Linked DNA regions of Ovis aries. The protein of the gene in region 1 purifies or fractionates together with the protein of each later gene. This does not show direct contact. Links are inferred from orthologs where the notes say so. Each region holds a gene or a part of one and is shown in the gene's direction. Other genes may lie near its edges.

Evidence for each region. Proteins that work in one complex are often made in the same cells at the same time.
Region 2: the proteins of PRKCZ (region 1) and C1QBP purify together in Homo sapiens (affinity purification with mass spectrometry; 5 studies listed by BioGRID and IntAct, with this or other methods). This does not show direct contact. The link is inferred for Ovis aries from reciprocal best matches to the Homo sapiens genes PRKCZ and C1QBP.
Region 3: the proteins of PRKCZ (region 1) and CSNK2B purify together in Homo sapiens (affinity purification with western blotting; 3 studies listed by BioGRID and IntAct, with this or other methods). This does not show direct contact. The link is inferred for Ovis aries from reciprocal best matches to the Homo sapiens genes PRKCZ and CSNK2B.

Annotation. Positions count from the first base shown.
Region 1 is NC_056065.1:49,910,587-49,920,873, reverse strand, and holds part of PRKCZ (protein kinase C zeta type), read left to right. Parts: intron 1-2,710; coding exon 2,711-2,797; intron 2,798-4,132; coding exon 4,133-4,268; intron 4,269-4,445; coding exon 4,446-4,533; intron 4,534-5,589; coding exon 5,590-5,709; intron 5,710-6,749; coding exon 6,750-6,829; intron 6,830-7,176; coding exon 7,177-7,266; intron 7,267-9,697; coding exon 9,698-9,813; intron 9,814-10,020; coding exon 10,021-10,108; 3' UTR 10,109-10,287. UniProt on the Homo sapiens protein: Calcium- and diacylglycerol-independent serine/threonine-protein kinase that functions in phosphatidylinositol 3-kinase (PI3K) pathway and mitogen-activated protein (MAP) kinase cascade, and is involved in NF-kappa-B activation, mitogenic signaling, cell proliferation, cell polarity, inflammatory response and maintenance of long-term potentiation (LTP).
Region 2 is NC_056064.1:25,995,830-26,006,297, forward strand, and holds C1QBP (complement component 1 Q subcomponent-binding protein, mitochondrial), read left to right. Parts: upstream 1-3,565; 5' UTR 3,566-3,666; coding exon 3,667-3,889; intron 3,890-4,504; coding exon 4,505-4,655; intron 4,656-6,828; coding exon 6,829-6,925; intron 6,926-8,263; coding exon 8,264-8,653; coding exon of another isoform or gene 8,654-8,724; 3' UTR 8,725-8,840; coding exon of another isoform or gene 8,841-8,990; 3' UTR 8,991-9,239; downstream 9,240-10,468. Other genes in the region: RPAIN (RPA-interacting protein), read right to left, coding at 9,622-9,852.
Region 3 is NC_056073.1:26,708,862-26,719,329, reverse strand, and holds CSNK2B (casein kinase II subunit beta), read left to right. Parts: upstream 1-3,288; 5' UTR 3,289-3,413; intron 3,414-4,013; 5' UTR 4,014-4,024; coding exon 4,025-4,096; exon of another isoform or gene 4,097-4,813; coding exon 4,814-4,916; exon of another isoform or gene 4,917-5,424; coding exon 5,425-5,540; exon of another isoform or gene 5,541-5,987; coding exon 5,988-6,063; exon of another isoform or gene 6,064-6,199; coding exon 6,200-6,389; exon of another isoform or gene 6,390-6,844; coding exon 6,845-6,935; 3' UTR 6,936-7,075; downstream 7,076-10,468. Other genes in the region: GPANK1 (G patch domain and ankyrin repeat-containing protein 1), read right to left, coding at 74-518, 1,085-1,689; LY6G5B (lymphocyte antigen 6 complex locus protein G5b), read left to right, coding at 7,898-7,958, 8,091-8,219, 8,510-8,913. UniProt on the Homo sapiens protein: Regulatory subunit of casein kinase II/CK2.

The DNA of each region.
Region 1 (10,287 bases):
GTGTTTACACCCCTTTCTGTCTTCAGCTCTTGATTAATCCTGTTTTGCGAGTTTTTACTATATTTTGCACATTTAGTTAAGTACTAAGGAAACGTGACCTGCTGTCTCGGCCCTGAGGGAGGCTTCTTTCCTTTCCTGGCATCACACATGTGCCAACCAAGCTATGCAATCTGGGGCTCATGGGCAGAGCCAGATGTGGAGCCGGGAGACGGGCCCTTGGCTGTGCTCGGCCATGGACATTGGGGTGTTTGTCACAGCAGCCAGCTTATCTTAGTCACTTGAAGTGTCATCATCGGAGTGAATCAGCCCCTGGTGGCTCTTGAGGGGTTTGCTCCAAAGAAATGTTGAGGGTAGTACACCTAAACTAAGACAACATTGTAAGTCAACTAGACTGCAATCTACATTTTTTTAAAATGTCAGAAGTAGTGGTAATGTCTATCTGTAGAAGGAAAAAGATATCAGGGAACTGGGAACCCATGTGCCACATGGCATGGCCAAAAAAAATAAAAATAACCACTCTGCTCTGTTGTTATAGCTGATCAGTATTGCAGATTAAATGAATTCCTTGATCAGCGACTTACCTGAGACCCGGGGCCCCAGTTAGCAGTCACAGATTAGCCAAGTGTGCCTCCGTGTTCACTCCAGTCACGTGGCTTCTGTTGAAAGCCCTGTTATAGGCTTTCCTCCAGATCCAGAAAGCAAGCCACCATTGCTGCTACTTTTCTCGGTTTTTAAACATCTCTTCTGCTCCCCGAGGCCTCATGTTGGTGTCTGTCTCCAGTGCCAAGATGGCACTTCTTTCTGTCCATGTGGGCGGCCACCATCCGTTCCCTGGGGAATATCTACATAGGGTGGATACATCTCCTGGGGCAGCGCTGTCCCTGATCACTGTGGCAAATTTTGTTCTGTTGTTTGAAGTCACAGTGTTCTGAATAAATGCTCTTGTTTTTTAGTGGCGAGGGCTTGGGCCTCTCCCCAGGGCTTGAGCACCTTCCCCCAGGGTGGCTGCCAGGGTTCAATGTGCACACATGTTGGAACAGCGTGCGAAGGTCTGTGGGGGCTGTGCAGCCATCCTTGTCCTGTTTGTGCCACATCGGCAAGCCTTTTCCGTCTCTCACCTCTGTTATAGCGTGAAAGCAACCACCGGCAAATGTGTGAGTAAAACAGCTACAGTGCAGACCGCCCAGTGTCAGGGTCAGGGTCACTGGGCCCTCTCCAAGTATGAGAGCTGTACTGCCCTGCAGGACCACATGGAAAGCTCTGGCTGCTCCCCCAGTACTCAGCCCTCAGTCTCCATGTCTGCTGTATGCGTTTAGGAACTGTTTCTCGTGTAAATATGTGATCAGAGGCTTGGTGGGCGGTCTGTAGCTTGTTCACATGCTCCACGTGTGGGGCATCACCATCATCGCACCAGTGATGCAGACGGGCTGCCAGTGCTCAGAGGGGCTCCCTCTGTGTTCTCAACTCTCTGAAAGCCACCCCCCTCCATACCCAGAGGAACTGTTGACCTAAAAATCCATAAGCTGGCCTCAGCAGGGCATTTCAGGGAAATCATGTGTGAATTTAGTTTTGAAAATAGAACCTTATTAAATGTGAGGAGGATCCTATCAAGGAAAGAAACCACAAGGTAAATTGTTTGGGGACCTGAAGAACCCTGCCTGCCTCCAGAGGATGGGCCTGTCAATCACAGGCCTCTCCCACCAGCACCCCCACCCTTCTAGAGGCCTGTCAATCACAGGCCCCTCCAGCCAGCAACCCCACCCTCCTCTGGGAGGCCGGTAGCTTTGCAGATTCCCAGTGGCCAAGTCAGCATGTTCTGCCCTCTTCCTCTGGACCTGCAGGCAGCTTGGGGTGGGTCCCACAGGAGGGGTGCACGGGACCCTCCCGTGGTTCCACCGAGCCTTTCCCCTCCCGACTGCCTACACCACTGGCCATTTTGTGGGCTCTGCCTCAGGCCCTCCAGGCCAGCCACACCAGGAGGCTGAGCACCTCCTCTCCTTCAGCCTGCCCATCTCCCTGCCCCAGGTCCACCCAGACAGTGGCCAGAGGGTCACTGGCATCCCCCAGCTGGTGCACCCGGCCTTCTGGCTTCTCCAGCTGAGTTGGGCCCCTGTACTTGCAGGGTGGTCCCTCAGCTCTGCCTTCCTCCACCTCTCCGTATGCACCATCCAGGCCTCTGCTCCCTGGGGAGGCCTCCCACAGCAACCAGCCACATAGCACCCTCCCAGCCCCAGTGAGCCCCCGGCCAACGGGCCCTGCCTTATTTTTACATTTTTACCCCAAAGGCAGGCCAGGCATCATTGAAAGTGAAAAGTGAAAGTCACTCAGTCGTGTCTGACTCTTTGCAGCCCCATGGACTGTAGCTTGCCAAGGCTCTTCTGTCCATGGAATTCTGCAGGTCAGAATACTAGAGTGGGTAACAGTTCCCTTCTCCAGGGGATCTTCCCAACCCAGGGATCGAACCCAGGTCTCCCGCATTGCAGGTGGATTCTTTACCATGAGTCACCAGGGAAGCCCTCTAAAGGCATCATTGGGAGAGTAAATAACTGTTGAATGATTTGAGTGGTGGACGAGAGTTTCTCTCTCAAGTTTTATTTCATCAGGATCAGAGCTGAGGGGCTCCTGCCACTGACCCCAGAGTTGGATGGCCTGGTTGCTGCCTGCCTGGGCCTCTCAGGACAAGGGTGACCCCAGCCTGTGTGTCCTGCAGGTTGTTCCTGGTCATCGAGTATGTCAACGGGGGCGACCTCATGTTCCACATGCAGAGGCAGAGGAAGCTGCCAGAGGAGCACGCCAGGTGGGTGCAGCTGGGGCAGGGGAGGGCAGGCCACAGCCTGGAGGGTCCTGGGAGTGACCCGGCCTTGGTCCTGACCCTCGGCGCACAGTGTACACAGTGATGCCATCTGGCCTCCGCAGAATGATCTCTGTTACTAAATGATTCTCAGGGACAGTGACCACGTTGCCCCCGCCCCACTACACCCACCCCCCACAGCCTCGACCTCACAGGTGGGTGGGGCGTTTATTTCCACCCCATACACATCTCTTTCCTGTTTTCCCATACTTTTTTCCCTTTTCCTCATTTCCTCACTTAAAAATAATTCCATGTGGCACTGTGAGTCACCATAGGTCCTTTTTGGGGAGAGGCAAGTAATAAATCAAGAACCCCACACGCTCATGTTCTCCTTTTTTAATTGTGAAAAATTTGCATAACATAAAATTTCCACCTCAACCATTTTTAAGTGCACGGTCAGCGGCATCGAGCACATTCACGGTGCTATGCAGCCATGCCGACCACCATCTCCAGGACCTTGGTCTCCAGTACTTTCATCACCAGGACTTTTTCCTCTTCCTGTACCGAAACTCTGTCCCCGTAAAACACTCGTTCCACATCCCCTCCCACAATCCACACACCCCTACTTTGTCTCTGTGACTCTGACGCCTCCAGGGACCTCAGAGAAGTGGAAGCCCATAGGATGCATCCTCCTGCATCTGGTTTGTTTCACTCTGTGTCATGGCCTAAGGTCCATCCACGTTGGAGCAGGTGTCAGTGTCGGCACCTCCTCCCTTTTCAAGGCTGGATCCTATTCTATCACAGGAATGGACCGCATTTTATCCTTATCTTTCGATGAACACTTGGGTTGCTTCCATGATTTAGCTGCTGTGAACAAGGGGGTACAAATACCCATTTGAGCCCCTGTTTTCAATTATTTCGAGTTATTCACAGACGTGGAATTGCTGGGTCACATGATAATTCTATTTTTAATGTTTTGAGGACCTTCCAAGCTATTTTCCACAGCAGCTGCACCATTTTCATCCCAACCAGCAGTGCATGAGGGTTGCAGTTTCTCCACATCCTTGACAGCACTTGTCATTTTCTGTTCGAGGGGATGGGGGGCCCGTTGTATAGTGGCTGTCTTGGTAGGTGTGAGGTGGTATCTCATGGTAGGTTTGGGTTGTGTCTCCCTGACCATGGGGATGCTGCCTGTCTTTCCCGGTCCTGTGGGCCCACCTGTCTTGCCCAGTCTTATTGGCCCATGAGTTCATCAGTGGAGAATTCCAACGTCTTGTGTCCTCCTATCCAGGTTCCTGGTTGGGTTCTCTCTGCTGATGACAGGTGTTGCCCCTTCCCCAGGTTCTATGCTGCTGAGATTTGTATCGCACTCAACTTCCTACACGAGAGAGGGATTATCTACCGGGACCTGAAGCTGGACAATGTCCTCCTTGACGCCGACGGCCACATCAAGCTGACGGACTACGGCATGTGCAAGGTGAGCATCCCGCCCACTGCTCCCGCCCGCCCGCCTCCCAGGGTCGTGGCCAGCCTGGCACCCACTCCGTCTCACCCATGCCTGGTCTCTGGCACCTCCACGTGACCACAGTCCTCCCACTAGTGGGGGCGTATCTGGGCATGCCCTCCCTCCTGGTAATTGGCTTTGTCCTCACAGGAAGGCCTGGGCCCTGGTGATACAACAAGCACTTTCTGTGGAACCCCGAACTACATTGCCCCCGAAATCCTGCGGGGAGAAGAGTATGGTAAGCATGGGTGGGACAGGCACTCGGCTCTGAGTCTGGAGTGGGCCATGACACCCAGACACCCCGAGCCCTGGGCCCCTCCTTTGCCCAGGGACTTGGATCTGAGGCGGGAGTGGACGAGGACACCCTGAGCCCTGGGAGCTGCCTCTGCCGGAGACTCTGATGGAGCAGAGAGGGAAGGAGGCAGTCCTAGTGGGGCTAACCCTGCCAGGGTCCTCACCAGGGTCTCTGGGGAGCTGACCCAGCTGCCAAGAAGAGGGTTTCCTGACTAAATTGCACTAAAACACACACCCTTACTTTGTCCAGCCCCAGGTCATCACCTGGCCTCAGTCCCAGCTATTGTCCCATGTGTTCACCTGAGTGTGCCCTGGGGAGGTCACTGGACAGGATCCCTCTGGTCAAGGAGCCTGAAAGGCTTGGGAAGGAGAACACAATGCAAAGACAGGCCCCAAGCAGAGGTCCCACGCCACTGGTGCCGCCCATAAGTGTGGGTTCCCCAAACCCACCAGAACCACCCACAGCCCCTGTGACACTGGAGTGCGTCCACACACTTTCTGGATGTGAAATGAAAATGAGATGCACACCCTCTGCGTTTTGGGGTTCTGCTGTTTTCCCATCACAAATACTCTTTCAAATATTTCCACATATTTTCTTTGCCATTGAAATTGGGGGGTAGCAGGGCGAGCAGGTTCTCTCCCCCTCCGATCCCTGGGCACCCGGGAGGCCAGTACGATTGAAGTCACTTAGTAACCAAACGAGGATGGACAGCAGCCGTAGTCCAAAGCAGAGTCTATAGCCTTCCCAGGATGGGGGTCCTGTGTGTGACAGAGCTGCACACCTTTGGACATCGGGGGTGGCTGGCTGTCCCTGGGCTTCCTTGACATGAAGACAGCTTTGCAACTGCCAGGACAATGGACAGAGTGGAGGCCAGGCCACCTGGGAGATGCTGGGGACACCCAGCCTCAGCTGTGGTCCAGGTCCAGGTCACAGCTGTTGCCCTGTGACTGGATAGCACAAATGGAGAGTTCTGGCCTGACCAGCCTGGCTATCCCTCAGGGTTCAGCGTGGACTGGTGGGCGCTGGGCGTGCTGATGTTCGAGATGATGGCAGGCCGCTCCCCCTTTGACATCATCACTGACAACCCTGACATGAACACTGAAGACTACCTTTTCCAAGGTGCGTGGGCCATATGTCCCGTTCCCTCCATGCCCTGCGGGTTTTCCCCTTTTAGAAGTGGGGGTGAAAGAGTCTCCTGATTGGTTGCCGTGGCTGCCACAGACTAGGTGGGGCCACTTGTCCACTACTGGCTCTCAGGGAGCAAAGTATAGTGGGCAGGGGGATACTGCTCTTTCACATCCACAGGAAAGAATCTGTCCTGATTTGGCCCAGGCCCCCTTCTCCCCACCTCCAGTATGCACCTGAGTCCCGACGGGGGCTGTGCTCAGCCTCAGCTTCTTGCCATCTGGGCCCCTGGAACAGAACTGACTGCCCCCAGGATGCTGGCCCAGGCTGTCCCCACAGTGCTCTCTTGCGCCTGTGGACATGGGGAGGCTGTCCCACGGTGCCCTCCTGCGCCTGTGGACGTGGGGAGGCTGTCCCACGGTGCCCTCCTGCGCCTGTGGACGTGGGGAGGCTGTCCCACGGTGCCCTCCTGCGCCTGTGGACGTGGGGAGGCTGTCCCACGGTGCCCTCCTGCGCCTGTGGACGTGGGGAGGCTGTCCCACGGTGCCCTCCTGCGCCTGTGGACGTGGGGAGGCTGTCCCACGGTGCCCTCCTGCGCCTGTGGACGTGGGGAGGCTGTCCCACGGTGCCCTCCTGCGCCTGTGGACGTGGGGAGGCTGTCCCACAGTGACCTCCTGTGCCTGTGGACGTGGGGAGGCTGTCCCATGGTGCCCTCTTGTGCCTGTGGATGTGGGGAAGGTGTCCCACAGTGTTGTCTTGCGCCTGTGGACATGGGGACACAGGACCAGCTGAGCTGCCATTGGTTCATCCCTGATCATAGCATGCCTGATCGTGGGCACCAGGGCCTCTGAGGCCTGGAGACCTTGCTGGGGTGCAGGAAGAGGCCCAGGCCACCGTGACTGCCATGACCCTCCTGCCCAGAAAAGGTTTCCAGTGCCCTGCAGGCTGCTGGGAAGAGCTGACAGGCTAGGGTCGAAGAGGGGGAGCTGGAGGAGGGCCAGGAGAAGGAACAACTCTCTCCTCCGGTCCTGCAGTCATCCTGGAGAAGCCCATCCGGATCCCCCGGTTCCTGTCCGTCAAGGCCTCCCACGTGTTGAAAGGATTTTTAAACAAGGTACGCTTGTGGCCCCCGTGGCACCCCAGTGGCCATGGCCGCAGCCCTTCCTCAGCTACTGAGGTTGAGGCTTTACCACCTGGTCTGCTAGTTTAGTGCTGGACGTGGGTGTGACTCTGCTTCCTTCCTTAGTCCTGTGGCTGCTTATTCACCTTGACAAAAGCTAATGAGGAGAAATTATGCCGAAGAGGCATTTCCTGAAGGAGCTTAACCCGCTGGGAGGAAGCAGTTTCACCTGGGTGGGGGGCCGGCCATGGGTGGTTTGTTGGTGCTGTTTAAGACCCGCTACTGAGTAGGGCTGCCCTGCTCTGTGCTGACTTGTCCTCATTTGAACTCTGACACACCAGGACCCCAAGGAGAGGCTTGGCTGCCGGCCGCAGACTGGATTTTCCGATATCAAGTCTCATGCCTTCTTCCGCAGTATAGACTGGGACCTGGTAAAGTGATTGGAACCGGATACCCACCTCCGCGGGTTGGGGAGGGACCTCCAGGGGGCAGGATGGGTGGAAATGGGGATGCATTGGGAAACACTGATTGAAAACAAGGAGGCGGGCTGTGATGAGGCCCTGGGGGCAGTGCTTCCTGAAGGTCCTGAGAGCAGCCTTGCTGGGGCGTCCAATTCATGCTGTGCTGGGTGTCCTGTGGGGATGTGTTTGTGTGGATGAGCACAGCCATACACCCATTGATTGAGCTCCATGTCCACGCCCTGAGTCAGCTCACAGATACTTCACTTAACCATCTAGCTAGTCCCAACTAGACACCCAGGTGTGCTGTGGTCCTTCCCCCCACAGTGGCCCTTGACCCACCCAGTCCTGGGGACTCAACCTTCTGGGTCTGGGCCTTCTCCCACCCCAATGCTGCTACCTGGGTCTGAGCTGCCCACATCCTGGACAGTCCCCCGTTTCCTGCGTGGGCCCTGCCAGCAGCCGCCTCCTCCACTGGGCCTTTAGGAGTCCCTCGCTGCCAGGCCCACTCCTGCCTCAGGGCAATGACACAGCTCTGCCCCTCCCAACCTCCACCCACCACCTCCTTCAGACTACCTCAGCACGCTCACTCCCAGCCCCTTTGGGCCTCCTCTTTCCCGTCACACCTCAGGGCTAAGTGGCGGGACTCTGGGACGTCGCTCTAGGGCAGCACCGTTCCAGTTCACTGCTTGTCACTGAGAGCAGAGGAGGTGACACTGTGTGTGACATTCCCGGGGAGTGGGTGGGGGTAGGGGCAGGTGCTGAGCAGCCATGAGGCTCTTAGGTTAGGGATGGGGGGTGGCCTTGGAAGACCCCGGGCCAGCACCTGGCTGCATTTTCCTCATGGTCTGTTCTGACTTGCTATTTAAATCTTTTTAAAGCAGCCTGAGACCTAAAGTAGGGAAAATAGTACAAGAGAAATGTTTCTTTTTCCCCTTTTTATCTGAATATATTTCATGCTAACAAGAATATGGAAACTTGCCTGACAGAAGGCTGAGGGAGAAGGGAAGGCCTTATGTCCCCAGAAGAGTGTCCAGGGTGTGGCCATGCCCACCAGCTCCCGGGGCCCTGGGATCGCAGCGTGCACATGGGCATGTGGGCACCTGCACACATGCACATACACACACTGGTAGCCCCCTTCTGCCAGTGGGATCAGCCCATCCCCTCTGTTCCGCACCCCCCTCCTGCATCCCCTGGGTGACAGAGATAAGCGTGCCTCTCCAGGTGGCCTGGGTGTGCTGGCTGCAGCCTTGACACTACCGGGCGTGACTGGGGGATTCATCTCTGTGACACTCTCACTTCTTGCACCAACTTCGTTAGCAGAACCTGTGTGTTCAGCTTCCCAAATCCCCCAAAGTTATGGGACCTGTTTCAACTTTCCGGGCCCAGTTTGCTTTTGTTGCCATAAGTGGTGTTCCTAAGGGCCCTGACCCCACAGTGCAAAGACAGGGTATGAGCTGAGGTGGACTGGAGGCTTATTTCTGACTTGGCTGGAGCTGTCTCCCTACACGGGACCTTGGACCATGTCTCCAACCCGGTCACATGGAGGCCTCACCCAGGTGGGAGTTTCCAGGCTGGCTCACTCAGGACCCTCCAAGGGAAGGCAGCAGCCAGTCCTGAAAGGCCGAGGTCATCCACCCCCTGAATCAAGCTGTCCCGGCTGTGAGAGCACAGTGGTTCAACTAGAGGGCTGGCTATCCTCTGGCTCCAGATTCCCTTGTGACGGGGACGGTCCCTCCAGGCAGGCACCCCCATGCCTCAGTGTGGCTCTCTCTGAGGTCTGAGGAGCAGGCCTGGCCCAGCACCCGTGTGCAGCAGACACCTGGTGGAGGGAGGGGAGAGGAGGTAAAGAGTGTGTGAACCTGGGGGCCCATGCCCCCCCCTCAGTGATTGGAGCCACTCTTGAGTTGCTCCACCTCCTCCATGTGACTCCACCCTCTCCAGACACCACCATGTCTCAACCCCCAAGATGACAAGTGCATCCCTTTGGGATTAGGAATACTAATCAGGAATACTAGTCTAGGAATACTAGAAATGGCCACTTAAGGCGTCTCGGGAGGAGGGGTCCCAGTGGAACACAGGTATCCCTACCAAGCCCCAGCTCTCTTACCACTGGGGTTCCAAGATTAAAGCTCCCTAAGCCAGCCTCCATTGGTTTAAGGAGCAGGGTTGCAGGCCCTCGATGGCGTGGGGTATGTCTCTCATGGCCTGTGCTGCCAGCACTTTTCAGCTCAAGTAGAGTTTTTCTGACTTCGGCGGAAATTTCTCCTACACTTTAGAGAGCAACAATTGGCCATCAAACGAGGCGTATATACTTAAGCACCATTTCTTCTGTTTGATTCTGTGGTTTGAGTTTGCAAAGCGCTGAGTCGGCGCAAGTGGCTCTGACTGTATCTTCCTGCAGCTGGGGAAGAAGCAGGCCCTCCCGCCCTTCCAGCCGCAGATCACGGACGACTATGGCCTGGACAACTTTGATACGCAGTTCACCAGCGAGCCGGTGCAGCTGACTCCTGACGATGAGTAAGGCCTGCACTACGGTGGGGTGGGGTTGAGCTGCAGGGTCAGTCAAGCTGCAGGGGCGGGGAGGAAGAGTCCCAGGTGGAGGCAGGGCGTCCTGAACTGCTGGGAGGAGGAATCCCATGCAGGGGTGGGGCGTCCTTAGCTGCGGTGCGAGACAGGGCCGGGTCTTGAACACGCCCACCGAGCCTGCTCTGTCCCGGGCCACAGGGACGTAATCAAGAGGATCGACCAGTCGGAGTTTGAAGGGTTCGAGTACATCAACCCACTGCTGCTGTCCACTGAGGAGTCCGTGTGAGGCGCCGCGCTCTCATCGTGGACGCGTGGACGGCCCTGGCCCTGACCCCTGCGCATGCATGCGGGGCCGGGCGTGGGCGGGTGCCCAGGGCAGAACGGCCTCCAGGTGTGGCCCATGGGCCTCAGGCCCAGAGGAACTTACTTCTCGCGCCTGCGCCGCGGGGGCCGTGGTGACCGTGT
Region 2 (10,468 bases), on another chromosome or scaffold:
GTAGCCTGACTTGGTAAAAGAAATTACTGTATTTTTAATGAAACATTCATCACACTGGTAAAAAATATTGGGAGTGGGGTGATGTATTATGTTTCTTGTAATGTTGCAAATTATGGGGGCTCAGACAGTAAAGAATCTTCCTGCCATGTCGGAGACCTGGGCTCGACCCTTGGGTTGAGAAGATCCCCTGGAGGAAGGCATGGCAACCCACTCCAGTATTCTGGCCTAGAGAATCCCCATGGACAGAGGAGCCTGGCAGGTTACAATCCATGGGATCATAAAGAATCAGGCACAACTAATTAACTAAGCACAGCATTTTCTAGAGCAAGTAAAATTTAGCTTTTAATCATTTTTGTGGGCCTCAGAGTTGCTGAACTGTTTCAGGAAATGTATTTTTTCTGAGCAGGAGTAAGGGGTAAATAGCTTCTAAATAAATGTAAATAGCTTCTGTGTTTCTGTACAAAGATATATTTATCACTGTAACATTCTGGTAGAGTTTTGATACAGTAGTTCTTATCAGGCTTTTTAAAAAGTTAACTTTTCAGGTAGCTGCTCAGGGATTAAATGATTTGGAAAAGCCTATCCCTGCTCCATGTTACTACAAAGAGATACATGGCTCTTTATACCTAGCTGCAGGGCACAGATAAGTACACTTTAAACTTTCTAAGAAAGTTAAATGTTTCACAGTGATGTTGCAATCTCATCTTGAGCTACTCTTTTCAATCCCTAAAATCTCTGATGGTGTGCCCCCTTTTTATTTTTCCAACTTGTGAATTCCATATCTGGGTGAATCACTAGTTCCCTTGAGCACCTTTGTATGTTAATAAATAGATGCACTAAGCAGATTGCATGTCTCAGATGTTTGGCTTCTGCTTCTAATAATCATGGAGGGCAGCACAGATCCCATTTACTAGGGGAAGAACTGCCCAACACCCAGTTCTTGGTAGAAACCTTTCCTTAATGTTGCATCTCTGCTAGGAATAAAGAGATGCCAGAAAGGAGACAAGCTTGTGCTCTGTGGAAAGAACTGATTTTATACTGTGATGCCTAAATCCATTTAATTCAGCTCTCAAGGAAACCTGTGGCCAGGCATTTAAGATACCATTCCTTGTGACTATAAAGAAACACTGCACCTGTGGGGAAGCAAGAGTTTTATTATGTTTTATTTGATCAGAATATTATAACTTTCAGGAAAAAGCTCAGTTCAGATTTATGTTGTGTTTTGAGACTCTTTTCTTACTCACACAGGCATAGGTCTGTAGAAGCATCAACATTCGCACATGACTCAAACCCATTAAAAGTGAATCTAGTACATATTGTGTGTGGCTTCTTTCTTGGGTCTCCTTTCCCTTATTCACAGAATGCTGTTTAGATTATATTAATATTAGTCATATCTTTGCCACTGATTTGGAAAGATTTATTTTCTTGGTACCTTATAGTATATTATGGTTCCTGGTAAAGTAGGAACATTGGTTCTTAACCTAAATATAATGTAAGCCGTGGCTTCTTGCCCCCCCAAAATAATGTTCCATCAGAACCTAGGTGTAAGGTTGGAGGGCTGCAAAAGTTAACCAGGCATTTTGCCTTCAGGAGCTCCAGGGGGTAAGGGGCAGCTGCCAGGTAAACGAGCAATGCCAGGAGGTTTCTGCTGAGAAAAGAATGAAGTACAGGGACCCGGTCACAGAGGCATGAGTTCTGGTTTTTCAGGGAAGAGGAGGAAGAGCCAGGAAGGCCTTTCATGGGAGATGACCTCAGAGGCTGGTTTTGGGAGTCAAAGACAGCAAGAGTGCATTCCACGAAGTCACAGAAAGCCTGGTCATGCTTGAGAACAGTAGATGGAAGTTTGGAGAGAAGCCAATTAAACAGCAGTCCTGGGACACCAGACTCAGAGCCACTCAGCTAAAGAAGTTTCATTTCAGTTGCTCAGTCATGTTTGACTCTTTGCGACCCCATGGACGCACGGCAGGCTTCCCTGTCCATCGCCAACTCCCAAAGCTTACTCAAACTCATGTCCATCAAGTCAGTGATGCCATCCAACCATCTCATCCTCTGTCATCTCATCCCCTTCTCCTCCTGCCTTCAGTCTTTCCCAGCGTCAGGGTCTTTTCCAATGAAAAGAACTCTGCATCAAGTGGCCAGAGTATTGGAGTTTCAGCTTCAGCATCAGTCCTTCCAATGAATATTCAGGACTGATTTCCTTTAGGATGGACTGGTTTGATCTTGCAGTCCAAAGGACTCTCAAGAGTCTTCTCCAACACCACAGTTTAAAAGCATCAATTCTTCGGCACTCACCTTTCTTTATAGTCCAACTCTCACATCCATACATGACTACTGGAAAAACCATAGCTTTGACTAGATGGACCTTTGTAGGCAAAGCAATGTCTCTGTTTTTTAACATGCTATCTAGATTGGTCATAGTTTTTCTTCCAAGAAGCAAACGTCTTTTAATTTCATGGCTGCAGTCACCATCTGCAGTGATTTTGGAGCCCAAGAAGATAAAGTCTCACTGTTTCCATTGTTTCCCCATCTATTTGCCATGAAGTGATGGGACCAGATGCCATGATCTTTGTTTTCTGAATGTTGAGTTTTAAGGCAAATTTTTCACTCTCCTTTCCACTTTCATCAAGAGGCTCTTTAGTTCTTCACCTTCTGCCATAAGGGTGGTGTCATCTGCATATCTGAGGTTATTGATATTTCTCCTGGCAATCTTGATTCCAGCTTGTGCTTCATCCAGCCCGCATTTCGCACGATGTACTCTGCATAGAAGTTAAATAAGCAGGGTGACAATATACAGCCTTGACTTACTCCTTTCCCAATTTGGAACAAGTCTGTTGTTCCATGTCCAGGTCTAACTGTTGCTTCTTGACCTGCATACAGATTTCTCAGAGACAGGTAAGGTGGTCTGGTATTCCCATCTCTCAGAATTTTCCACAGTTTGTTGTGATCCACATAGTCAAAGGCTTTGGTGTAGTCAATAAAGCAAAAGTAGATGTTTTTCTGGAACTCTCTTGCTTTTTCCATGATCCAGCGGATGTTGGCAATTTGATCTCTGGTTCCTCTGCCTTTTCTAAATCCAGCTTGAACATCTGGAAGTTCATAGTTCACATACTGTTGAAGCCTGGCTTGGAGAATTTTGAGCATTCCTTTGCTAGCGTGTGAGGTGAGTGCAGTTGTGCAGTAGTTTGAACATTCTTTGGGACTGGAATGAAAACAGCTTTTCCAGTCCGGTGGCCACTGCTGAGTTTTCCAAATTTGCTAGCATATTGAGTGCAGCACTTTCATAGCATCATCTTTCAGGATTTGAAATTCCATCCCCTCCACTAGCTTTGTTCGTAGTGATGCTTCCTAAGGCCCACTTGATTTCCCATTTCAGGATTCCTAAACTTCTTTAGTTCCTGAAGATTCCTGTTGCTGCAGAACTAAAGTTTAGGAATCAGATTCCAAGCCTCCCTGGGAGGCTACACCGGAGGCCACCAGCAGAGGGCAGGGTCCTGCCCACTGTGCCTTCTGGTCTGCAAGGCGGCGGCGCGGAAGCACTTCCCGGCTGTGGGGCGGGACTTCCGGCGGCGGTCCCAGATCTAGGGGGCGCAGCGGCAAGGAGTTGTCCTTCTAAGCGAGAGTTGTATTTCGAATCTGCACGTGTTCGCCACCGCCTCCGCTGCCAAAATGTTCCAGCTGCTGCGCTGCGTGCCCCGCGTCCTGGGTTCTGCCGTCGCTGGTCTCCGCGCCGCCGCACCCTCCCTGCCGCTTCTGCAGCCCGCGTCCCGGCCATGCGCCCGGCCCTTCGGGCTGCTGAGCGTGCGCGCGGGGTCGGTTCAGCTGCCCGGCCTCCTGAAGCCTCGGGGGCCCTGCGCTTGCGGCTGCGGCTGTAGCGGACTGCACACCGAAGGTGAGACTCATGCACGTGGGCCGGGGGCGTGAGGGGCGTGGGCCTAGGTGGGGCGGGGTGTTAGGGGCTGGGAGGTGTAGACCACCTGAATGGACAGTCCGGAGCCGCTCCTGAGGTCCGGAACATTCTCCCAGTGATGGTCGACCTGCTAGTTAAACCCACGCGTAGTAACATTTCCCGTCCTCCCCCACCCCTGTTTGACTGCGGGGATAGATACTGTAAAGTCCTGGAGGCCGGCTTTACCTCAGTCTCTCGAAAATGGAACTTTGCGAAAGCCCAAGGTCGCGGTTAGAAGTAGCGTGATGTTTCTTGGCAAGTGAAAGGGTAGTGGCGATTTTTTTTTTTTTTTTTTTTGCTTTATTTTGAAACGTCGTGAGAAGTTCATTATTCGGGATCACTTTCCTAGAATCCATGCTCAGCTTCCCACTGATAGCTTACATTTTTACAGATGAAGGAATTGAGGTTTAATGGATATGAGTTGGGCTAAGTCCACAGAGCCACCATTAATAGAAGTATTAGGAAAAAACAGGCTAAGTCCTGGTCTTTGCTTGTAGTAACGGGGTCATTTTCCATTTTAGACTAATTGGCTCTTTCTGTAACTTATTTCCATTGTAGGAGACAAAGCTTTCGTTGACTTCCTCAGCGATGAGATCAAGGAGGAAAAGAAGATACAGAAATATAAGTCTCTCCCCAAAATGTCAGGAGGTTGGGAATTGGAAGTGAATGGGACGGAAGCCAAATTAGTGCGGAAAGTTGCTGGAGAAAAGTAAGTACCAGGGGCCTATGGAGCCCAGGGGACCACATCCATAAACCTGCAGGACCTGCTGTGAGGTATCCACAACAACTTTTAGTTAAGACAGGTGCTTAACTGACTCCTGGTTTCCCAGAGATGGTATGATTCGTTTGGATAACTTCTTAGGCTCCTTTTTGCTTATTCACTGCACAGTAATGTGCTGTGGTGGTTAACAAGGAGACAGTAAGCTAGTAGCGGGGTTCCCCAGTGGCTTGGCGTCCAGAACCCACCTGCCAAAGGAGGAGGTGTGAGTCTGAAATGGCAACCCACTCCAGTATTCTTGACTGGAAAATCCAATGGACAGAGGAGCCTGGCAGGGAGTCCATGGGGTTGCAGAGTCAGACACGACTGAGTGCCTGAACATCACCCCAGTAGCACTGAAGCCAAGCCACTGGGAGTCTTCTGGACCAGTAGAGGCAGCAGTCACTGAGCCCTTCCTGGTGAGTGAGGCTGTGCCTTGCCCACAACTAGGCATGCAAATTCAGAGATTCCGGCACTGCCCACAGAATCGGATTTACTCTGCTGGGTCTACTACCCTCAGGCTCTGGCTGAGGAAAATAAAGCCCCTGTTCTGTTTACAGTTGAGAAAGCAAGATAATTAACAGGGTGGGGTTGCAGTATAGTTTTTCATTAGAAAAGAGGGATGCTTTTGGCCTGCTTAAGCTGTTTTAAATCCACGGTCCACTTTGAAGTTTTGCATGCGCTGTGAAGCAGCAGGCTGGTGCTTTTGCCTAGTATTGTAGTGCTTTCCCCGTCATAGATCAATTGTGTGGTCTGTAACGTGACCCAAACCACTCTCCTAGGCGAAGTTATAGGCAGTTTGGGACCATTATAATGTGCTGCTGAACATAGCTGCATTTCTCTGTCCAGGGGTCAGTTTGGTCCACACTGTCACAGCTTAGACAGATTTTGTGCCTGTACATCAAACTTCTGTCTGTCAAGGTGCCAGTTACCATGGCTTCAGAGGGCAGCGTTGTCTGCAACCTAGCAGTGCTCGTTCCAAGTGTCACTCAATTTTCAGTTCAAATTTTGGAATATGATATGTCAGGTGAAGATTCTTGCAAGTTAAAATTGTCATTAGGTGGTGTTTGTGGCCTGCCTTGTCATTTATTAAACTTCCTACATCTGCTCTGAAGAATAAAACTGTCCAGCAGCATATTCTTTTTTTTTTTTTGCCACACTGCTTGTGGGAATCTTAGTTCCCTGACCGGGGATCAAACCCAGGCCATGGCAGTGAACACACCAAGTCCTAACCCCTGGCCCACCAGAGAACTCCTCTATGTGGTGTCCTTTGTGAGGCCTCCCCTTCCTGGGGCCAGGGCTACTCTCCATCCTCAGCTGATGCCACAACCCTCCGGTGCTCCTTCTCTTCCTCTCAGGCAGATTTTCTTCTAATGGAGGAAGATTTTTAAAGGAGGCTCCTGGGACTTAGTGGTGGTCCAGTGGTTAAACCTCTCCTCTCCCAGTGCAGGGGACCTGGGTTCAATCCCCGATCAGGGAACTAAAATACCACACATAGCAACAAAGGTCACATGCACCTCGCAACCAAGACCCAGCCCAGCCAAGTACATTTTATTTTCTTAAAGGAGGCTTTTGGAACTTTGTGGTGGTCAAAGTGTCTGCTCCCAGCGCAGAGGACCTGGGTTCAATCCCTGGTCAGGGAACTAAGATCTCGCATGTAGCAACTGAGCGATCCCATACATAACAATGGTCATGCGTACCTCGCAACCAAGACCCTGTGCAGCCAAGTACATTTATTGTTTTAGAGGAGGCTTCTAGCCCATGCCCACAGCTTCTCAGCTGCTCACCACCACTGGGAGGTGCCCTGGAAAGACAAGAGTGGCGGTGTCAGCTGACTGTGGCTATAAGGTTGACAGAGAGCCCCGGATAGTGGCCTGATGGCAGAAGCACCAACACACAACTGTATTTGGCTGAGGAAATAGTGCCTAATTGACTTCCAGCAGCCAACACATAGTAGGCCCACTTCAGACCTGCTGAATCCAACTGTGGATGGGATGCAGGCAAATCAGATGTAAAGCCGGCTGAGATACATTGTTTCAACAGCATTTTTAACTGTAGCAAGCCGTAGTACTCAGCTACTCAGTTAAAAAGACATCTTCATTGTGCTCTTTGGTTGCCTTTCTAGGATCACTGTCACTTTCAACATTAACAATAGCATCCCACCTGCTTTCGGTGGTGAGGAGGAAGAACCCTCCCAAGGGCAGAAGGCTGAGGAGCAGGAGGTAAGTTTCTAACACTGTAACCAGCCTGTACCCACCTATTTCTGACAGGCTTAGGGAAGGAGCATTGGTTTTTGTTTTGTTTAAATTCTAACGCCAGGAGAGAGGGCAAAGGCAGCCATCCTTGGGCCTTTACTTGCAGAGCACCAGAACTGTGTGGCCACTTTTCTTTCCCAGGGGCCAAGTGTTAATGAATTGTTTTCTGTGGGCTTAAGCGTTATAGTTTGGCCGGTGTTCACCTAACAGGAAGGAATTTAAACTGTCTTAACCCTTCTCATGATCAGGAGATAAATCATTTGGAGTGTTCCACATGAGGAATACATGTCCCGAGTTGGTAATAAACACCAGCCAGGGGCATCAGAGACTTTGGCAAGGCCTCTCCTTAAGTTGCTGCCCTTCTTGGTTGGACCTGGATGGTGTTTAGTCCTCGAACATTTTAGGAAGCTTTGTGCCTGGCCTAGAAACCAGCCAGTATGAGGGCCACAGGTCCCCAGACTTTCTGGCTGGGTGGGCATGGTATTGTCTCATCACCCAGCTCAGCTCCCTGGAGTGCTGGCCCAGCCCCCCTGACAAAGACCACCCCCAACCCATCCATGAGGTTGGCTGGCTCGCTCTCAGAGCGCCTCTGGGCCTCTAGTCAGAGGCACCAGCCTTTGGTCCTGGGCTGTAATGAAGATCCCAAAACATCTGGAAAGGGGTTTTGGAGTTTTGAGCCAGCTTTGTAGTGTATAGATGTAGAAACTGACCCAGGAAAATTAACTGGCACACTAGATGTGGCTAGAGCTGAGTTCCTATTTCTGAACCTTGTATGTTCTTTAAACAAGCAGGGTGCTAATAGAAGTGAAAGGCTGTACTAAATTATGATACTCTGCCTCCGAAACAGTCCATAACGCTAGAAAGGAATGACAGGATGTACTCGGCCCAGTCTCTGAACAAGTGGGTTACGTGGCTGTAATACTGTGTTAAAGATTCTAGGCTTCTTATTTGGGAACCTCTTAGCGCAGTGTCGGAGAAGGCGATGGCACCCCACTCCAGTACTCTTGCCTGGAAAATCCCATGGATGGAGGAGCCTGGTAGGCTGCAGTCCATGGGGTCCCTAAGAGTCAGGCTTGACTGAGTGACTTCACTTTCACTTTTCACTTTCATGCAATGGAGAAGGAAATGGCAACTCACTCCAGTGTTATTGCCTGGAGAATCCCAGGGACGGGGGAGCAAGACTTGTAAGTGGCTAAGTAATATCGTAATAGCAGTGGCCGTCAGACCCCTGAATTGAGACCTTTAGTCCAGACCCCTGCCACCAGACCCTTGCCAACATTTACTGACTTGTTCTTATTTCCCTAGCCTGAATTGACATCCACTCCCAATTTTGTGGTTGAAGTTACAAAGGATGGCAGCAGCAAGGCCCTTGTGCTGGACTGCCACTATCCAGAAGATGAGGTGTGTAGGGTGGAGAGCTGGCGGCCTGGGGGGCGGTGGTGGGGGGCCTCCAGGGGGCTTTCCTGGTTCCATCTAGCTGATATTAACATTTTCTGGCTTAGAGCAGCAAAGCTGGGAAGATTAGTGGGAGGTAAGGGAACAAGGTTAAAATCTGAGTTTCAAGCTGTAAATAATCCCTTTTCTTCGCCTGAGTCTGGCTTGTCCTGGAAAACCTTTCTGTTTCGCCAAATACTGTCTCTCTTCAGATTGGACAAGAGGATGACCAGAGTGACATTTTCTCCATCAAGGAAGTGAGTTTTCAGGCCACCGGCGAGTCTGACTGGAAGGACACAAATTACACACTCAACACAGATTCCCTGGATTGGGTGAGTGCTAGATAAGGTGGGGAGGGGCCTACCTAATCCAAGGAGAGACAAAGAAGCATCCTAGTAAGTGTCTCAGGTGTCTGTCTGTTTTTTTAACTAGTAAATGATCCTTCTAGGGCTTATACGACCACCTAATGGATTTCCTTGCGGACCGAGGGGTGGACAACACTTTTGCTGATGAATTGGTGGAGCTCAGCACAGCCCTGGAGCACCAGGAGTACATTTCTTTCCTCGAAGACCTCAAAGGTTTTGTCAAAAGCCAGTAGAGCAGGCAGCAAGGTGCTGAACACCTTAATTTTATGGCAGGCTTTGGCCAGTGAACAAAACCTAACTCTGAAGCCAGACCCACATGCTTTGAAAAAAATTTTTTTTTTTTAATCCCAATATCATGGAAAATAATTCACTTTTAACTTATTTCTGTTGTCTCTTATTTACCATTCATTTATCCTCTACAAACCCTTTATTTCTGGATTTTTGTATAACATAATGATGGACAATAAAAATCTCCAAGGTGATTTGTCTTTTCTAATTCTATACCCTCCCTTTCAACCTGTATTACAAAACATGAAACAGAGGAAAGTCTGAAATGTTTTAATAAGTTATAAATAAAAGGTTTGTATTTACAAGGCCACTTCTCAAGATGGGACTTTCTTCCAACACAGTAGATCATGCATCAAGACTGGGACCGACCCTAGAGGATCACAGCCCAAGTATCACAAGCCTGGATTTAAACAGAAAAGAGTTAGAGTTATTCCAGTGACAAAGACAGTCTCAGCATATGGTTAAAAGTCATCGATAGCAATGACACTTAAGCTGCTCCTTCCACGACCTGGGTGGCCTCTGTGCTTCCCCCCTTCAGGAGATGGTTGGCCTTTTAACTGAAATAACATCACTTTTCTATGCAACTAAGTTCCTCTTTTCTACCAGGGTGGGAATAAAACCATCCGCTGACCCACTGTCAACTACTGGCTCCCGTGGTAGGCTTACCAGACAGCTCATGAGAAGACATGACTTCTCCTCTGTCCCCTCAGTGACTGAAAATTCTGGCGTGTGGGGACAATGTGCACTGTGCTCATTGACACTGTCTTCTAAACAGGCACGAAGCTTTTGCTCTGTCATCTCCGGAGACTAAAAAATAGACAAGTTAAACTATAACCTAATCTTACTAGCCTCATAGTCAACAGCTTAAAAAACTGCAGCTCCCCTCACACCAATCCACAACTGGCTCCCTGTGATGGCTTGATTCCTTGGACCCTTAGAAACGCTATAACTGTGCTAAGAGGATCTCTTTAAATGTCCATCTAGCTGCCTCTCCAAATGAACCAGTGCTCTTCCACTCCTGCCGTAAAACACTAACTGCTGCTCATCGTGCCAGGAACACTCAGACTCTGGAACCTCCCTGTGTTTCTGCCTCTACCAGCCAAGTGTATGATTACCCAGAACCAGCAAGCTCCCATATCTGCTGCTGAACTTGCTACTGTAACTGAGTGATTTAATTACATACTATATAAACCAATGAAATAATAAGAAAACAAAGTTTCATTTTTGTGATAGTAAGTGGAATGTTTAGGAAACAAAAAGATGCTTTAAGAAAAAGAATTAGGTAAAAGAGTAAAAGATGGGGAGGAAAAATCCTAAAGTGTAGACAGCTTCTCGATGCTTTATAGAAACAACTGGGGAAACAAGACTTTAAGAGAATTTTACAAAAAACAACCTCAGCTCTCCAGTCAACAGAGTCTCTGGC
Region 3 (10,468 bases), on another chromosome or scaffold:
AGAAGCCCAAGTGTCTAAGTTCGGGGCCCAAGTTCAGACTTCAGCAACACACCAAGGTCAGAACTTGCCCAAGTCAGAACTCGAGGTTCATGTATGTCCGCAGATCCCGCTCCCAGGCCTTGTCCTTCTCTTCCTGCCTTTTCTCCTCCCTGCGGTTCAGTGTGGTCACCCTAGGGGCTCTCTCCCTCCCAGCCACTGCCCGTATATCCCGAGCTGGGAAATGTGTAACTCGGGGCTGAGGTGCTGGTCTGTAGCCTAACCCCTCCTGGTCCCTCTTGAGGACAGTGGGGATAGGGTTGGCACGGCCCTCACCCCGGGGTCCTAGCCCCATTCCAGGCTCCCAGCCCCCCCTCAGCAGCAGCTTGAAGCCTGGGCTGGAGGTAGAGACCCCAAGTGGTAGGATGGGGGGCCGGAGATCCCGGGACAGCGACAGCAGGTGAGCAGTGGATGTACAGTGGTTAGAGTCTTGAAAGTGGGCATCACAAGTCTCACAGTACTGGGGGGAGGGGGATCGGGACCTGGAGAGAAAAAAAGAGAAAGGTTAAGGGTAACACAAGGGTTTAGGCCTCAGAGGTGGGTGGCAGGGTGGGACAAGGTCCTTCCAGTATCTCTGCCAAGAAACAAATTGTCTTTCCTTCCCAGTTAGCAACAGTGGACCTGAAGGAATGGTTAAGGCCTCACAACGTTCTTGGGTGGGAAATAATAATTACTATAGTTAACATTTGTACAGTGCTTACTATGCTATTAAATACAAGCACTGTTCTAGTATTTTATGTATATTAACCCATTTAATTAACCCTAACAACCCTATAAGAAGTATAGTCTAATTTCTTAGATAGGAAAACTGAGCCACATGGACGCTAGGTTGCTTGCCCAAGAAGTACAATCAGGATTTAAACCCAGAGAGTGTGTACAACACAGAAATTTAGCAGATATTTTACAATGACTATAAACAGAATATCACTTTAAAAAATCCTGAATTGCTATATTGTACATATGTAATTTATATACTTGAATTATGCTTCAATAAAACAAAAATAGATTTAAAAGTTTAAACAATATTAAAAGATAAGGCTTCCCTCACCGGTTCTCTGGACTCCTTGTCTCTCCAGGGCTCTCTCTGACCATGCGGGCCACCTCAGGGAAACCTGCTTCTTCAGCCAACTGAGCAGCATCTCTGCCCCCCAGCTCACAGACCCCTACCCAGGCAGCCCCACGGCCCAGGAGATAGCGCACAGCTGCCCCCTGGCCTGCTCGGGCGGCACACATCAGAGGGGTCCACCAGAAAGCATCCCGAGCATTGATATTCCCTCCAGCTCCCCCTGCCTCACGGGGATCCAACAGCCTTTTTAGTTTTGCCAGGTCCCCCTCCTGGGCTGCCCTCAGTATCTGCTGGGTCGTCTTGTCCTTTGTGTCAAGGGATCTCCTTTGTCCATGTCCTCCTGCTGCTCCTGCTGCAGTCTCCCTCGTCATTCTTCTTTTCTTCCTCTTCCTGGCAGGCCCAGGCTGAGCTCTCTGGGTTTCAGGGGTGCTGCTCTCATCTTCAATTAAGGCTTCGTAAAAAGCCCGGGCTGCAGCCCCCTCCAGGATGGGCTCCAGCTCTTCAGGCTGTGATTGCAGCTGCCCATCTTTCCACAGATCACTGGAATCAGTGGCTGGGGTAAAGTTAATGAGGGAAGACCCAGACATGGCTTTTGGGAAATCTAGGAAAATGAGACTAGGAAGCCAAGCCCCTGGTGGTCCTGCAGCGACCAGAGCCAGTTCCAGACACCTAATGAGATAAACAAAAAGTATCCTTAGCGTCAAAAATCCCCTCCCAACCCAAAAGTGACCCCACAACCTGGGACCCTGTAGGGTCAGTAACAGACAATGCCCCTCAATAAAGGTAAGAAAGAAGTCTCCGTAAGACAGTTGCCCAGACCGTGCGCTCCGCCCCTACCTCCATCCGCACCAACAATACCAGCCTCTCTGAGACAACTTTATCACAGCGTAAAACATACCATTAAGAAAAACAATCAAATTGGCTCTTTAAATCTTCCTATTTCAGGGTAAGTTCTTCCCAAACAAAAACAAACGCGACACGTCTCCGGAAGCAGGAAGCAGCTTTCAGGAAGAGGTTCCAGTCTGTGTCGCTTTATAGCTTCCGTACTGCAAAATGGCGCTACTCTAAGCAAAGGAGTCGACAAATAATCACAGGGCACAAAGACGCATGCGTGGCCGGGGAAACAAAACAAAACAAAACAAAACACCTGAGGGTGCAGGCGCGCGCTAGCGCCGGGTTTTTCCCGCCCTGGAATGTTTCCATAGCAGAAGCACAACGCACCACGTGCCGGGGCAGCGCGAGGACTGAGAAAGATCCGTCGGTTGGGGTTCTGTTTTTACATAACGCCCCCACAATGCCCTTCGCCTCCTCCCTCAACGTGGCCCCCGCTCCGAGCTCATTTTCTGGACCTGGGAAATCACTCTCAGGGTTAAAAAAGGCTCTGAGGCGGAGAATGCCCAGAAACCCTGAAATGAAATAACGTCACGCAGCCCCTCACCATTACTCTGACCAGGGTTCGAAGGTCGCATTTAGCGCCCACAGCAGCCCCGTTCAAGCCCTAAGAGGAAATGGAGAAGTGCAAGGGGACAAGCAGCAGAATGGCTGGCACCACCTCAGGTTAGCCCACGGGGCCGTCCTGGTTCTCACACCGCTCAGCTCATCCCAGTACACCCTACCCAGGACCCTCAGCATGGAACCCGGCCTCACCTCCCGCCTCCGCTGCGCGAACCCCGGATGAAACAAGGGCCCCGTCGCGGGTCTCCTTGGCGGGCTGACTCCAAGGAGCAAGGCAATAAGGGCCAGGAGGGCTGGCTGGCTGGGGATGAGGTCAATGCCCCGGGCAGCAAAGTCTCGCCGAGGCCTGAGGCTCGCTGTTTGATGGGAGAAGCAAGAAGCAACCAGCCAGCCTAGTTCCTCTCCCGGCCCACCCCCTCCCCTCCATGGCCCTGCAGTCCCCGGAATCACACGACTATATTTCCCAGGCTACCTGGCCCAGAACGCGGTACTGAGTTTCCGCTTCCGGTGGCGGCTCGCAGTGCCCTGCTGCGCCCCGCCCCCAGCGTACCCCTCCCCCGGGGCCTCGTGACACCAGGGTCGTGCGCGGGTCATCCTGGGATTTGTAGTTCGCTTTTCCCTAGTTTCGTCAGTTTCTTCTTCCCAAGGACTCCATTTCCCGGCATGCACCGCGGCTCCTAACTCTAAGCACTTGCGCGTTGCCCTCTTCCCCACCCTCCCCAGTTTCCACTCCCCCCACCCCACTTCGCCTGCCGCGGTCGGGTCCGCGGCCTGCGTTGTAGCCGTCGTCGCGGTCTTTGGAAGCAGAAACTCCCCTTCCCCTCCCCGTCCCCCGGTCCCAGTCCCCGTCCAGTCGGTGAGTGTGGTGGTCGTCGCCGCGCCATGTCCCCTGTCCCTGGGCGCGGCACATGGGGTCTCCGCGTCTTGATGTGGGGGTGGGAAAGGAAATGACCCGGTCCGGCACCGAGGGTAGGAGAGGTGGCCCGAAGGGTGGAGGCGGGATGTCGGGACTTCTATGAAACGGACCTGACCACCACCTATAGGCCATGAGAAAAGGAGGGCCCAGCTCTTGCTTGGAAAGGATAAACTTCGGAACCCTTGAGAATGGGGCCAGAGACTTGCGGGGGTAGGGAGCTTGAGCCACGGCCCTACCGGAGTTGACACGGAGGAGAGAGGGGCCTGGCTTTCAGGAGCGTCAGGGATGGAGGTAGGACTAGTGGGGTCAAGACCTGTCGGTTTCTCACAGCTGGTGGACCCCGAAGAATTTCTCTATGTAATCTCAGTGAAAAGGGGCTGGAATGTAAATAAGAGGAGCTAGAGAGACGTGCTCCAGTCTCGGGTTCTTTAAGAAAAGGGTAGCCCCAAATTCTTCCATGGTTTGAGGGCAAAGTGTGGGAGGAGTGAGGATACCAGAGGTTGGGAGGGAGAGCTTAGGCTTATACTCTTCTGTCTCTAGCCGACGTGAAGATGAGCAGCTCAGAGGAGGTGTCCTGGATTTCTTGGTTCTGTGGGCTCCGTGGCAATGAATTCTTCTGTGAGGTGAGTTCTCCTCAACCCTACCATCCACCTCCACATGTAATCTGGCCACATAATCTCCTGCACATAAAGCTTCCACACACTTCTCTTACATACTTTAGTAAAAACTCTTGTCAAGGAGGAGTCTCCTTAGTAGCGCTCTCTAACTTGTGGTGAAGGGTCAAGACTGAGACCCCAAGTCAACCCTGCCACCCTCCAACAGCCTAATGTTGGACTTGTCAACCTGTGTTGTTTTTTTTTTTTTTTTTTTTTTTTACCAGGGAAGTACTGATAGTATGTATTTCTGGTAGCTATTAGGAGAATTAAAACACTTCACGTTAAAATGTTTTATAGCATGGCTGTGTGTTAACATAAGGGAGTGTAACTGACTTCAGAATCCAAGCTGTTCAGCCCCCACCTTCCTCAGAGAGCCAGCTGCCCCTCAGGAGAGGCCAAAACTGATTCCTAGAGCTAGGAACAGGAATCAGGACAGGGATCTTGAAAGGACTGCCTCTGTAAGGAGGGGATTGCTTATGTTTAGGAGAAAAAAGCCAGACCTCTTCTGGGTGGGCAGTATACACGAACTAGGGAGAGAGGTTCAAGTACTTCTGCTGAGTTGGGAGTGTGGAACAAAGGGAATGAAGCAGTTGTGTTGAAGATAAGGCACGAGTTAGAGCACCCTGCCCAGGTCAAAGCTGAGGATTCTGCTTTGGGTTTCCTTTTGACTTCACGTCCTGACAGGTGGATGAAGACTATATCCAGGACAAATTCAATCTCACTGGACTCAATGAACAGGTGCCTCACTATCGACAAGCTTTAGACATGATCTTGGACCTGGAGCCTGGTGAGACACCCTCAGGGTTGTTTTGTGTGTGTGCTGTTTTTTTCCTATTCACACCTTGTTTATCTGCTTCATGAATTTCTAAATTTCCTTTTGGTTCTCTAACCCTTTTAACCCCAAATCCTTTACTTCATTTTGATTCCATACCTCACTCTTGCCTAATTTTGTGACTTCTACACTTGTTCTCATACTCTGATCCTATAACTTAGCACTTATCGAAAATGCTAGTTTCTCCATGGGTGTTATCTTCTTCCTTGCCCCTTCCAGGTTAGAGTTCTATCTTCTGTGTTGACATCTTTGCATTTATTTATTAAAAAAGAGAAGGAAGCAGAGGCTGAGAGGGATGGAAAGAAACCCTTGGGTTGGTGGAAGGGGCAGAGGCCCAGGCTGTGGGTGGGGTGAGGCTCCAAGTTGGGTGCTGGGCTGAAGAGCCAGCAGCCCCTGGGAGTAGGCAGGGCACCTTAAAAAGTTGTAAGACAAGTGGTTGCATTTGGCTGGTGCCATGTTTCAGATGAGGAGCTGGAAGACAACCCCAACCAGAGTGACCTGATTGAGCAAGCAGCCGAAATGCTCTATGGATTGATCCACGCCCGCTATATCCTCACCAACCGTGGCATCGCCCAGATGGTGAGGCCTCTCTACTCCTACTCGGTTCCTTCAGAGGCAACAGGGAAGCAGAGTTTCCATCAGCAAGAAGTCACTCGTTTCAGCCTTGTCACGGAATCTAGCTGAGAAGAGGGGAAAGAACCCCAGAATCTGGGCCTAGGGGTTAAGACCTGATTGAGGGTTGAGGTGAAGGGAGTGTTTTGGGGGAGGGAGATGTGACCTAGAGCAGAAAGTTGTAGACTGCCTCTTCCTCAGGGAATAAGCAGTGAATGTCTGATGATCTTCAGACTGCCTGACTGGATGAAAGGAAGCAGGGGAGTCTGAAGGCCCATCTGAGCCAGAGAAGGGGCCTCTGGACATTAAGAGGCAGAAGGAGTTGGGGACACAGTGATGTGGATTGGGCTGAGGAGGGGGTTGCCTCTTTTCTTCATACCTACCCACCAACTCCTTCAATTTCATTCACATCAGTTGGAAAAGTACCAGCAGGGAGACTTTGGATACTGTCCCCGTGTGTACTGTGAGAACCAGCCAATGCTTCCCATCGGTGAGTGTTGGGAAAGGGAAAGGAGGGCCATGGCAGGCTGGGATGGAGTTGGGGCTCAGCAGGTTGGGGCCTGAGTCCAGGAGGGAGGTTGGGCAGGCTTGGGTAACCTGGCCTGCTGAGTCTGGCTGTCTCCCAGGCCTTTCAGACATCCCAGGTGAGGCCATGGTGAAGCTCTACTGCCCCAAGTGCATGGACGTGTACACACCCAAGTCATCGAGGCACCACCACACGGATGGCGCCTACTTCGGCACCGGTTTCCCTCACATGCTCTTCATGGTGCACCCCGAGTACCGGCCCAAGAGGCCCGCCAACCAGTTTGTGCCCAGGTGGGGAGCAGGGACAGAGTCACCAAGGGTCGAAAGAAGTGCCTTGGATCCCCCAGAAAGAAGGGAGGATGAGGCAGTAGCTAGCCTTGCTGCCATTTTGTGTGCTCAACTTTCGCTAGGAAATTCTCAGAGCCACGGTTGAAGTGTATGATCTTCCTGCAGTATCATTTTTGCTCTGGTGTAGAAAAAGAAAGTTCAGCTTTTATATTAAAACAAGTACTGCCATGTATATACTCATGTATATATGTACAGACACATATTTGTAGCTTTGAATTTGAGTTTTAATAGATATTTAAAATACATTTCCAAATATTCTTAAAGGGAGAAGTTGGGGAACCGCTGCCTTGAAGTACTGAGCAGGCCCATGAAGAAACTGGGGTAGGGGGGAATGCAGGCCACTGGCAGGCCAGGATGGGGCTCACTGTGCTTCCTCTCTCACCTCTGCCCCAACCCAGGCTTTACGGTTTCAAGATCCATCCAATGGCTTACCAGCTGCAGCTCCAAGCCGCCAGCAACTTCAAGAGCCCAGTGAAGACGATTCGCTGATTCCCCACCCCACCTGTCCCTCGGTCTTTGACACTTTCATTCCTTTGCTGCCACAATTTCAGGAACCCTCTATGGTTTTTAGTTTAAATTAAAGGAGTCATTATTGTGGTGGGAATATGAAATAAAGTGGAAGAAAAGGCCATGGGCTGATTGGCTGGTGTTTGGGGTTGGGGAAGCACGGGTAATGGTATGCTGGGCCCCAGGAGCCCTCCTGGCTCAGCCCACTCTCTTCAAGTGGAAAACCAGCACAGATTTGTACCCAGTAGATTTGGGTGATGTTTTTAGGACTGGGTGTAGGGATGTACGGAGATCACGAGGCAAAGACAGAAATCGGATTTCAAAGACTGGAGAAATATTTGCTCTTTTTGTGTTGCCTGCAGTTGGCTGTTTAGGGGATGTAATCAACATCACTTTGAGTTTTATAAAGAAAGTGGTCCCAAAATAAACTGAACTGTAAGGGGTGGGGAGAAGAGGTTCAAGGTCCAGAATTTGCTGTTTTGTGTCTATGTGCCCCCTCCTGGGGAAGCTGAGACATGCTCATCTCAGAAGGATGAAGGTCACTGGGTTCCTGGTTAAAGTTTCTCCCAGAACAATAGGGACTGGCCCTGTTGTGTAGGGAGGATGGCAGATGGTACCAGAGAATGAAACTAATCCATGGACCCTGGAGGGGCAGGAACAGATCTTTGAGGGACACTCAGGACAAAAGTAGACTGCTGGATTGGGGCCCAGATATTGCACCTGTCTGGGCTGCCGCTCCCACATTCAGGAACCAGACCAGGTGGGTGAGGACATGTTCTCCTGCCAAGCTAATTGCTTCCTGCCCCAGGGAGGAGTATAGCTTTGTACCTACAGCAGCTCCTGCCCAGACTACCTGTCAAAACCACCTTGCAGTTCAGGCTCGAGGAGTGTGGTCACGGGGTTTCTAGGCACCCCTCGGGGAATGCCCCTCTCCCCAGAAGTCCATGATGAAGGCCCACATGCTTATAGGTGCACTGGTCATGGTGGGCTTCACGGTGGGAAAGGGTAAGTGGAGCAGGGGCAGGGCAGGAGGGGTGGCTGAGTACAGGGAGAGGGTGGCGGTGGATGAGCGGGATGTTGCAAGGCAGGGAACTTGGAGTGGGCCAACACCACCATCCGTGTCTTCCGCTTCCCCAGCTCCTGTTTCTGAAGTCCGGACCTGCCACCTCTGCCTCTTAGAAAATCCTGCTGTAGGATGCATTTCAGGCTCAGAGAAGTGCACTATCAGCAGCTCATCCCCGTGCATGGTGATCAGCATCAACCATGGTGAGTTGAGTCAGGCAGGGAAGGGGCCACTGGCAGGACAGCCTATGGCATTGTCTCCTCTTGTAAATGAGGGCTGCTTGGGGCCTGAGGTCTAAGGAGATGGAGGTTTCTGGTAGGGGAGGGGTCTGGAGTTCTGGGGAGCCGATTAAGCTAATTTCTTCTGGCCTCTTCTGCAGGAGTCTGGAAAGGAAATTGGGTCTAGGTGAGGGATGGGCAGGTCTGTGAAAGGGGTACCAGTTCTGGTGACTGTGGGAGGCAACAAGGGTTATTAGTTGTCCCTTCTTCTCTAGAGAACAAAGCTCGCTTCTTAATCCGAGGCTGTGGACAACACAATTCCTACCGCTGCCAAGAAAACCTCCCCACCTACATCTCAGAGTACTGGTACTCGGCCCAGTGCTGCCAGTATGACTACTGCAACTCCTGGTACAGTCCCCAGCTCCAGAGTGCCTTGCCTGAGCCCCCTGACAGGTCCCTGGCTCTGCCCCTGTCTCAGTCCCAGATCCTGTGGTTCTACCAAACCCTGAACCTGTCACTGCCCCTGCCCAGCTTCCCTGCTGGGGAGGAGCCTTCTGAAGGCCTGGACCCCCTGGCTGGCCCACCCGTGAATCTGAGTTTGTCCATTGCTGACCTGCGCAGCATATACCTGTTCCTCAACAGTTCTGGACTTTTGACTCTTCCCTGGGCTGGTCCCTGACATCTTTCCCTGCGCAGATAGATTTCTGTCTGGTCTAGCGTCTCACTCCTGGCACCCCAGCATCATGCATTGTCTTCTCAGAACACTCCCACTCTTGGGTCTGTAAGTTCTCAGTCTTCCTTTCTTTTGCCTTTCCTTTGTCCTTCCGGTGTCCGTATGGTTTTGGTCTCGTCTCCTCCCCGAAAAAAGCAGTTGGCAGTGTACCCAGAGCCCTTCGACCACCTAGAATATAATCTCAAATGCGGATTCTGCCTAGGCTGACCTGGGTAAAGGCACAATGGTTTTCTCGACACTGTCCTGTTAACTGAATGTCCCATCACCCCCACCCCACCCCCCATCTTCCTGATCTCTCTCAGTCTGGCTGTTTCCACTCTGCTATACCTAGCTAGTTCAGTCTGTGCCAGACTGAACTTGCATCAGAAAGGGTGAGAGCTGGACTTCGTGCAGGTTTCCTGACTGAGCACTGTGGCGCCCCTCCTTCACTGTCTACCCGCCATGCTCCTGCCTGGTCAGCTGCCTGCTCTCATCTCTTTTCCCAGTCTCTGGCTTCCTCAGCTCCGCTTCACATCCCTGAGCCATGACACCCACTTGCACAGATTCCCAGGGAGAGGAGGGGGTCTGTCCCTTGTTCTGCACTCCCTAGTCCTCCTCCACAATAAACAAACTGCCCAGAGTCCTTGTCATGTTTTTGATGGGGGCAGGGTCAGGTGTGGTCAGGTGTAGACAAGTTAAAGGTAACTGGGCGTGGGGTTCAAACAGCATTGCAGAGCCCTGCCCACTACACTTGGCCTTGTGGCTTCCTCAATGGCCTGCCTCAAACAGCCCACATCCATCCCACCCTCTGCTCGGCTGGAGATCAAAGTATGAAGATTATGAATCTTGCCAGCCTTAAACATACCCTCCAAAATCTAGGAAGTTCACAGGTGATGTCAGGTTTTTCCACAAGAGGAAGGAAAAAACCACCACGAAAACACAAGCGCAAACACAACAGGTCTGCGTCTCAGAGTCCCCTGGAGCTGAGGCACCTGCGTTCTTTCCAGGGTCCTGGCAGCCAGGACCGGCTGTGTGGGAAGTCTTAAGTGAAAGAGGTGAGGGAGCACAGAGTACGCAGGTAGGCCCGCAGAGGCAGGCCCTTTGATTTTAATTTGAAGAACTGCAAGCATGCAGAAAGCAATAATGAATTTTCATAACTCAAGCCTTCCCCATGCATTCAGTACATACTGGACATACCGCTCTGAGCCAGGCCTGGTATTAAGAAGCACCAGGACATGCAGGTGAGTACAGCCAGGTATCCACCCCTCTGAATCTGGTGACCCAGTACCAGAATTATGAAACGTTCTGAAAAGTAGTGCACCCCTGTGGCTGGGAGGCCCAACCCCAGCTCCTCTGTCACCTGGGTAAATCGGTCTCGGCCTCACTATGGTCACCTCTAAAGTAGAGATAGTGTGTCAGGATTGAGAGAATGTGTATCAGTGTGTGCACACAAATAGAAGTTACGGGCTCAAAAGAAGTTATGGGCTCAAAAACAGATATGCCTTAGAGACAAAGCACACTG